2 linked regions of the Tribolium castaneum genome follow. The protein of the gene in region 1 purifies or fractionates together with the protein of each later gene. This does not show direct contact. Links are inferred from orthologs where the notes say so. Each region holds a gene or a part of one and is shown in the gene's direction. Other genes may lie near its edges.

Region 1 (4,071 bases):
CCGATTCCTATGGATACAGTTGGCCCTGATCCGAAATTGGACGTTGTGATGGCATTAATGTGTTATGGTCTTTATCCAAATGTTTGTTATCACAAAGAGAAACGAAAAGTTTTGACAACCGAGAGCAAGGCCGCCTTGATACATAAAACATCAGTCAATTGCAGTAACTTTGAACAAACGTTCCCGTATCCATTTTTTGTTTTTGGGGAGAAAATACGGACAAGGGCCGTTTCGTGTAAACAAATGAGTATGGTGACGCCGATTCATTTGTTATTGTTTGGTTCGAGAAAAATTGATTGGGTAATTCAAACTAAACAATTGAATTGCAAGTGTGAGTTGATTTGATTTTGTTTAGGTTGATGGTGTTGTGCGACTTGATAATTGGATTAATTTGAATATGGACCCAGAAGTGGCGGCCCTTATTGTGGCCCTAAGGCCGGCCCTGGAAAGTTTAGTTGTTCGGGCGTCGCAAGAACCGGAACAAATACTCGAAATGTCACCAGGAGATCTCAAAGTAATTCATAAAAATATCTAGACTTAAATTTTTCGAGCGCTATATTTGGCTTTTTGCAGTTTGTTGCAACAATTAAAGAGCTGTGCAAGTTGCACGCTGGGAGTTACCAAATCGAGAGGGCTAGACCCCAAATGCAACAATCGAGGCGTCCACCAAGGGGGCACTCTTTGGGTTTTCAAGGACCACCACCAAAGTTTTTCAGAGGGGGGTCTCGAGGGGGCTTTGGAGATAATCGGGGTGGTTTTCGAGGGGGTTTTGATGGGGGCCATGGATTTGGGGGAAGAGGGGGTTTCAGAGGCAGGGGCGGATTTCCAAGAGGTCGTGGTTTCAGAGGCTATAGTAATTATTAATTGTATCGGTAGACATAAATGTGTTTGATCATCTCGGTATTCAAAAATTAAAAATTTTAACAAAATAAATATTAGTTTTTTCTTCTCGAACTTGAGGCCTTGGCTCACTAGATTCACTACAAAGAACAAAACAATATATATTTTTTGTTGAGTTTGTTAATAAAATTTAAATTTGAAGATTTGGCTAAATGACTACTACCGTAAAAACTAACACAACTCTAGGAAACTAACAACTTAAAGCTTACGCTTAAATATAAAAAATGTGACGACCCTGCCAGGATTCGAACCTGGAATCTTCTGATCCGTAGTCAGACGCGTTATCCGTTGCGCCACAGGGCCTGTAACACTCCCCTCTGTTTCTGATCATTTACCTACCCAACGTTACCAAGTCAATTTAATTGCTCTGATAGTTGCTAATTTGATTGGTGGTGCGGTTGAAATTGACCTCTCCCTTAATTATATTACTAGAATGCTTCAACAAAACATGTTGAATAGAAAAAAGTTCAAATAAAATCATAAAAAAAATCTGTCTCGTATTGACGTATAATTGGTTGCCTGCATATCACTATCACGTAATAGTGCAAACACCAAAATCTCAACTCTTAGCAATGGTATTCCCTTTAATTAAACCAGCTGGTGTGAAAACAGCCTCAAAACCATCAATTTCGGTAAGATTGAGTTATTTTTGCCCCAATCCAAGGTCACGTCATAAAATTGGCAACGTTCGTTATGTCAATTACGTCAACTGTCAATCAATTAAGATGCCCATTTATTTTCATCGCCCTAAAAGATGATTTTGTAAGCAAAAAGTGTTAGTAAGTCCTTGACAAAAACTCAAAATTGGATATTTTAGTAGTTAGTGTAGAATGGAGGCTGCGGGCGAATCGCGGGAAGTCCCCATAACAGTCTTGAGGCCCAAAACCAAGGCACTGTTATGCGACCTGTTGAACCCCCAGATGTTCATGCCAGGCCCTAATGGGGTGCTCCGGTGAGTACAGTTTTAGTATAGTTACAGTTTGTTGATTGGGGGGCTTAGGTATTGGAGAGGTTTGGCTGGCCTGTGCCAGATTAGCCCCAATTATGAGGCGAGTCTTGTCAACGATTCAAACCCCACAGATAAAGTGTTACAGTTGTGGTATGAAAAAGACCCCCAACGTTGTACTGTACAACAATTGTTGTTATTTTTAGAAGAGATGGACCGGTTTGATGTTGCGGACGATGTCTTGGATTTGATCGGTAAATTAATTTCACTATGATTTCGATTAATTTGTGCGAATTTTGTTGTTTTGTAGATGAGGACATTAAATTGTACAAAGCCAATCCACAAGGCTATGAACTCAAGCCTCTCTATTCCGAAGCTGATAAATACATTATTACAACAGATGACGTGATAAGGATTAATGAAGGCCGGGATTTGGAAATTTACGATGCGTTTTTATTGTACGACCATGATGATATTGAATTTGCCATAGAATTGTTGGACAGAATGGAGAAGGAATATGGAATGAAGTTCTGCGTTAAAGACCGCGATTTGGTCGGAGGTGGCTTAGAAATGGACAAAATGATTAAATTAATAACACATCGGTGTAACCGTTTGGTTGTTATTCTTTCAGATTCGTTTTTTAAAAGCTCAGCCAATGAGTATTATTTAAGTTTTGCACACGCTTATGGAATTGGTAACAACAGTTAAAAACATGCATTTTTTATGTTTAATTGTTGTTTTTACACAGAAAGTCAAAGGAAAATTATTCCTTGCATTTATAAAAATCTAACAACGAATCCGCCACATATGAAGTGTCTCTTCACTTTGGATTTTCAACGAATGGCTGCTTTCAATGTGTGGGATAAGTTACGTGATTCGATCAGAGTGGTCAGTGCGGAAAAATTCAAAGTTAACAGGTATTGCCTACTTGATTTTTGTTACTTTGAATAAAATTTTTGATCAAGTAGACTTTGACTGAAATTAAGTTGGTAACATTTGCTATCGTCTGTTTTTAAGGTAAGGCTGTTTTTTCACTAACACACTAAATATTTGATTTTTGGGTTGATTTCCTGCAATTTTTTGCATATTTTTGTGTTGAATGTTCGAAAAAGTAAAAAATAAACCCATTTTCTAATCATTTCGGCGATTTCTGGATTCAATTTACCATTTACTACATAATTATTGAACAGAATGTTCGGGGAAATACTCAAACGACTTAAGTTCAGTGTTGGCAACTTAATTTCAGTCATAGACCACTTCGATTAGAGTTCAATTAATTCAATGCGAGTGTAATTGCAGGTCCCAATCCGACAATGGTCAAGTGTTGAGGTCCGCTTTACATCAGAGGGACCCTATCGGTCTCAGACCGTTAAATCACGGCGTAAAATTTAGCAGTAGTGTAGGTGATTTGAAAAGCACAGAGGCTATAAGCGAACCACCGCTCAATCCCAGTACAAGTGCCGACAATTTAGAATCGTGTTCGGAACAGAAAAAAGAGAAGAAAACCACTTTGTTGAAAAAAATCAAAGGCCATTTCAAGCGAGATAAAGATTGCTCATCCAAGGCGGAAAAAGGAAGCAAAGGATTGAAGAAACACTTGAAGCGAGCCACAGCCGTCGCGAACTGATGCATTTTATTTGTGATTTGTGTAAATAAGTGCAATTATTTTTAATAAATATGATTGAATTTGTTGTGGGGATTTTCATTTTGTCACCAAACCCTAGTTACTGCGCAAAATATGATTTGGCAACAAAGCAGTGGCAAAAATGACAGTTGTTCCTCCAGCCCGATTTTTGTCATCATAAACAGTGGGTGTAACAAAAAATCGCACACTTTTCCATCACCAGTGCCCCCAGAATGTGCCCCACGTTGTAAAATCATCACAACACAATGTTCCCTCAAGTGACAATGTGCTATTCTTGATTGGGCAAAAGTAGGTTGAATAGTTGGTTAAATAATGGATTTGGCTGACTCCGGCGGTGGTCTTGGACCCGAGACCATCTACGGGACGCACGAGGACTCCCATGTGGTGATGTCGGAGAAGGTGCAATCGTTGGCTGGTAGCATCTACCAGGAGTTCGAACGAATGATCGCACGCTACGACGAAGACGTCGTCAAGACCCTCATGCCCCTGCTGGTGAACGTGCTGGAGTGTTTGGACGCGGCGTATCAACAGAACCAGGTACTTGACTCAATTTTAGTGAATTTAAACCGAGAGTTTGGTT
Region 2 (4,173 bases), on another chromosome or scaffold:
GTTTGATTTTTTCAATTTTCGTCGCAATTTTTGTCGATTTTGGGTACCCGGAACATTTGTTGAGCAATAGCTCCGGAACTATCAGAGATAACCCCATGAAGTTTATTATCGTTGGAAAGCTCTTTGAATTATCTATTTTTTTCAAAAAAAATTATTGTTCTCGATAACTCTAATAGTTTCGCCGTAATCGGTAGTCAAAAATTGAAAAAAAGTGAAAATGGAAACCTTTTTTTGCGTTTTTCTCGGAAACTGTAAGACTTAGAGCAACGAACAAAAAACTATCTGATAGCGTTTTCTCTATTTTTGCCGATATCTTCTGAACGATTTTTGCAGATTTGGATTCCGCTACGTTAGAAACACTACGTTACGTTAGAAAAACTTAATCATAAGAAAATTCTCGTGAAAAGTTGGTATAATACAGAAAATGAGCCGCTGAATTCAATGGAACAAACCGCATTGCTCTACGACTTTTAGTTTTCGAGTTATGAATTTTTTTGTTGAATAAAACTTTTCACAAAAAATTTTAAATTTTTAATTTTTGTGAAAAATTGATATAATATGTAAAATGAGCTGTAGAATTCAATGGAACAAACCGCAGTGCTCTACGACTTTTAGTTTTTTTTATGAATTTTATTAGTAAAAATCTTTGATCGCCTCTGTAGCCGGAACCGTTGCCCGGAGCGGCTCCGGGTTTAAACAAAAAAATAGAGAAAATTAAGCGCTATCAGATGATTTTTTGTTCGTTGCTCTAAGTCTTATAGTTTCTGAGAAAAACGCAAAAAAAGGTTTCCATTTTCGCTTTTTTTCAATTTTCAACCGCCAATTACAGCCAAACTATTTGAGTTATCAAAAAAACGAAAAAATCGAGAACAACCGGAATAAAAAGCTCTACAAAATAGCATAAGACTCAAGGCGATATCTCGCAAAAAAAATTTCAATTTTCAAACGCCGATTACGGCCAAACTAAAAGAGCTAGGAGAAAACGCTTTTTTAGATCGGAAAGAGCACATCAAAATCTATAAGATAGAATCGGTTTTATTTGATTTAGAGACACTTTAAAAATTTACCGATTTTAAGGGGGGGTGTTAACTTTTTTTTATTTTTTTTTTATTTTCTCATTTCTGGCTAAACTATTCTAAAAAGTGAAACTATTTTGTTTCATACCTATGCAAAATGATCCGGGGAATCGATTGGCATCAAGAAAATTGCCAAATTCCCAATAGTTTTTTAGTTATGAGTTTTTGAGCATATGATCTAATTTTTGCTTTTATTTGCATTTTCTCGAAAACTATTAGTCGGACAACAATATTTTTTTTTGCAAAAGATAGATAATTTAAAGACCGGCACTCAATAGTTTGACAATATTTTTTTGACAACCACCACCACGAAAATGTCATTTATAAGTGGCAAATTCAAACCGTGGGATTTTAAAGGAAAATTACAAAGTTTGACATGTAGTGATTTAGTGAGAATAATGATTTTTCGAAAATGTTGTTTTTGTGTGCCTTTACGGTGTGGTGCTGCTATGTTACTTGTCCTCCAAATGGCATGTTTGACGCCTTATACGATATACAATCCCACCGCAAAACTAATTTTCATCTCAATAGGAATCATGATCCTTTTGGCAACAGCTGCAGTGATATTTATGTGGGCTATTGTATGGGAAAAACCTAAATATCTTTATGCAACACTTGGATTATCACTGGGATCCATCATTTTTTATTTTGCCACAATAGATTACGACTATTCTTTTAAGACATCAACAACACCCACAACAAAGAAAGAAGGAACTGTTCATTTAATCCTCTTGATTAATAACACCACAGGAATATTAACATATTTTTATTTTATTTTTATGTTATACAATACATATGTTAAGTTACAACATAAAGCTAGAAAAAAACAACAATCTACTGTACTACCACAATAAACCATTTGTTAATGTGTCCGGTTTTGTCTTTTTACCACGGTCGGACTTTGCCTTGAGTTGCGTGAGTTAAAATCCATGTATTTTTCGGGTCTTTAACCATTGACATTTGTTTATGTCTACCGTGAGTTTTACAAAGGACATAAAGACGTTGCTCTCGCATCACAAAATAGCAGTCTTTACAACGTCTATGCAGCTTTCCTTTTACTTTGAAACCACAACACTGTGTTTGGTTGTAATTCACAGCGGCTAAAAGTTTGCTCGGTGATGTTGCAATCGACGGCGTAAATATGTGATAATTCTTGGAAGTTGCAACAACAACAAAGGGGCACTTTCTAATCACATTAATTACATTTCGAATGAGTGGAAACATTTTGTGAAAGATGAGGTTAGAAAACCGCTTAGGGATTTATCATTAGAAAAGTTACTAGGATTGGTGACAGACACTGCTGACTGTCACTGCTTGTCAATGTAACATAACCCAATTTTTTTATTGTTATTTTTTTTAACGATGTTTATTTACGATATGCCGTTTCTCGAACGTAAAAAACTCTGTAGTATTTTGGATCGGAATAATTGCTTTGAGGAATTAGCTGCGGTTCATATGCAATTTGATTCTGAGACGGTCCAAGTGAGTAAATTCGTATTTACTCTAAAGATACCTAATTAGCTTTACCTAATCCATTTTCAGAAAATTAGTCGCGAATTTTTCAGAGGCATTTCCCCAACTGAAAAACTCCTCGACTTATGGAGTCATCACAACCATACCGTTTTTGAATTGTTTATTCTCTTGTATCGAATGAAACATTATCAAGCCATGACAATCCTTAAACCACTTGTCGATTCAAAATATCATCATTTGATTAAACAAAGTACTTGTCTTCCTGAATTAATGGCCGATTTAAAATTAGAACAAGAGCCAATAACAAGTGAAAAAATACTAAACGCTCCAAGTTGTGAAAACAATGAAACAAAGCCCCAAAAACCAAACGGAATCTCGCTTATTTCTTGTGTGACGGAATCTGTGGGAGCTGTTCCTCAAATTCCCTATGATGATTTAAGACAGTCAACAAATGATTGGAACACTGGATCGATTCTGGGTCGTGGAGGCTTTGGGACGGTATTTAAGGGTGTTTGGAAGTGCACTCAAGTTGCTATTAAAAGAATTGAGAAAAAAGCGGATGACAATTCGGATCAAATTTTTCAATCCTATACAGAATTACATTGTTTGAATGCATACAGACACGATAACATTTTGCCACTTTACGGGTACGTATAAACCAATTCAAATTAGACATGAAATATTTATTATTTTTATTCAGGTATAGCATTGACGGACCTCAGCATTGTTTGGTATACCAATACATGTCCGGGGGTTCCCTCGAGCACCGTCTCCACATTCGTGATGCGTCACGTGTCCTTTCATGGCCAACTCGTCTCACAATCGCAATTGGAACCGCTCGAGGTCTTCAATTTCTACACACAATTCGTGACAAACCGCTTATTCATGGCGACATCAAGTCTGCCAACATTCTTCTCGACCTAAACGAAATCCCTAGAATTGGGGATTTTGGTTTAGCTCGTGAAGGGCCACCACAAACCGATTATGTTAAAGTGAGTCGTATTCATGGAACGAGGCCGTATCTTCCTGACGAATTTATGAAATATAAAAAATTTTCGACCAAAGTTGATACTTACAGTTTTGGAGTTGTTTTATTCGAATTGGCGACAGCTGGAGCTGCTTATTCAAATAAAAGGGTGAACAAGTTTTTGAGAGATCATGTCGTGTTTTGGGAAGGTGATGTGTTACAATTGAAAGATTCAAGGGCTGAAGGAGGAGAAGATTTTTTTAAGGGATTAGTGGAAGTTGGAAAAGGGTGTGTGAGGACGGGGGCAAAGGACCGACCGGAAATGGTTACGGTTTTATTGCAATTAGAAGCTGTGATGAATCAATAAATTTTTACATACATTTTTTACAATTGTTTCATTTCTCTAATCAACATTTTCCGTCAATTACTTTTATAATTTACGGCTATTGATAATCGCATTCTACACAAGGTTACAAGGTTATTCATTTCGACTAATTTTATCAGAAAAAAAGCAATGTGACAGTTGATCGGTTTTGTGGACACTACTACAATTCAAGGATTTCTTTATTGTATAATAATTAGTTTTCAAGTTTTCATTAACAAATAAGGTTTGTTAAATCTGCTGTTGGCTTTTAATTTTTGTCATTGCAGAAGAAA

The links. The genes of interacting proteins can lie anywhere in the genome.
Region 2: the proteins of Myd88 (region 1) and pll purify together in Drosophila melanogaster (affinity purification with western blotting; 4 studies listed by BioGRID). This does not show direct contact. The link is inferred for Tribolium castaneum from reciprocal best matches to the Drosophila melanogaster genes Myd88 and pll.

The regions. Positions count from the first base shown.
Region 1 is NC_087394.1:36,805,411-36,809,481, forward strand, and holds Myd88 (myeloid differentiation primary response protein MyD88), read left to right. Parts: upstream 1-1,464; 5' UTR 1,465-1,662; intron 1,663-1,717; exon of another isoform or gene 1,718-1,720; 5' UTR 1,721-1,730; coding exon 1,731-1,852; intron 1,853-1,900; coding exon 1,901-2,100; intron 2,101-2,156; coding exon 2,157-2,540; intron 2,541-2,594; coding exon 2,595-2,763; intron 2,764-3,145; coding exon 3,146-3,473; 3' UTR 3,474-3,537; downstream 3,538-4,071. Other genes in the region: mle (dosage compensation regulator), read left to right, coding at 1-300, 356-514, 574-864; syd (JNK-interacting protein 3), read left to right, coding at 3,804-4,028.
Region 2 is NC_087401.1:17,599,827-17,603,999, reverse strand, and holds pll (serine/threonine-protein kinase pelle), read left to right. Parts: upstream 1-1,368; 5' UTR 1,369-1,546; intron 1,547-1,607; 5' UTR 1,608-2,438; coding exon 2,439-2,558; intron 2,559-2,618; coding exon 2,619-3,196; intron 3,197-3,249; coding exon 3,250-3,883; 3' UTR 3,884-3,906; downstream 3,907-4,173. UniProt on the Drosophila melanogaster protein: Plays an essential role in the Tl receptor signaling pathway that establishes embryonic dorsoventral polarity; the signal directs import of dl into ventral and ventrolateral nuclei, thereby establishing dorsoventral polarity.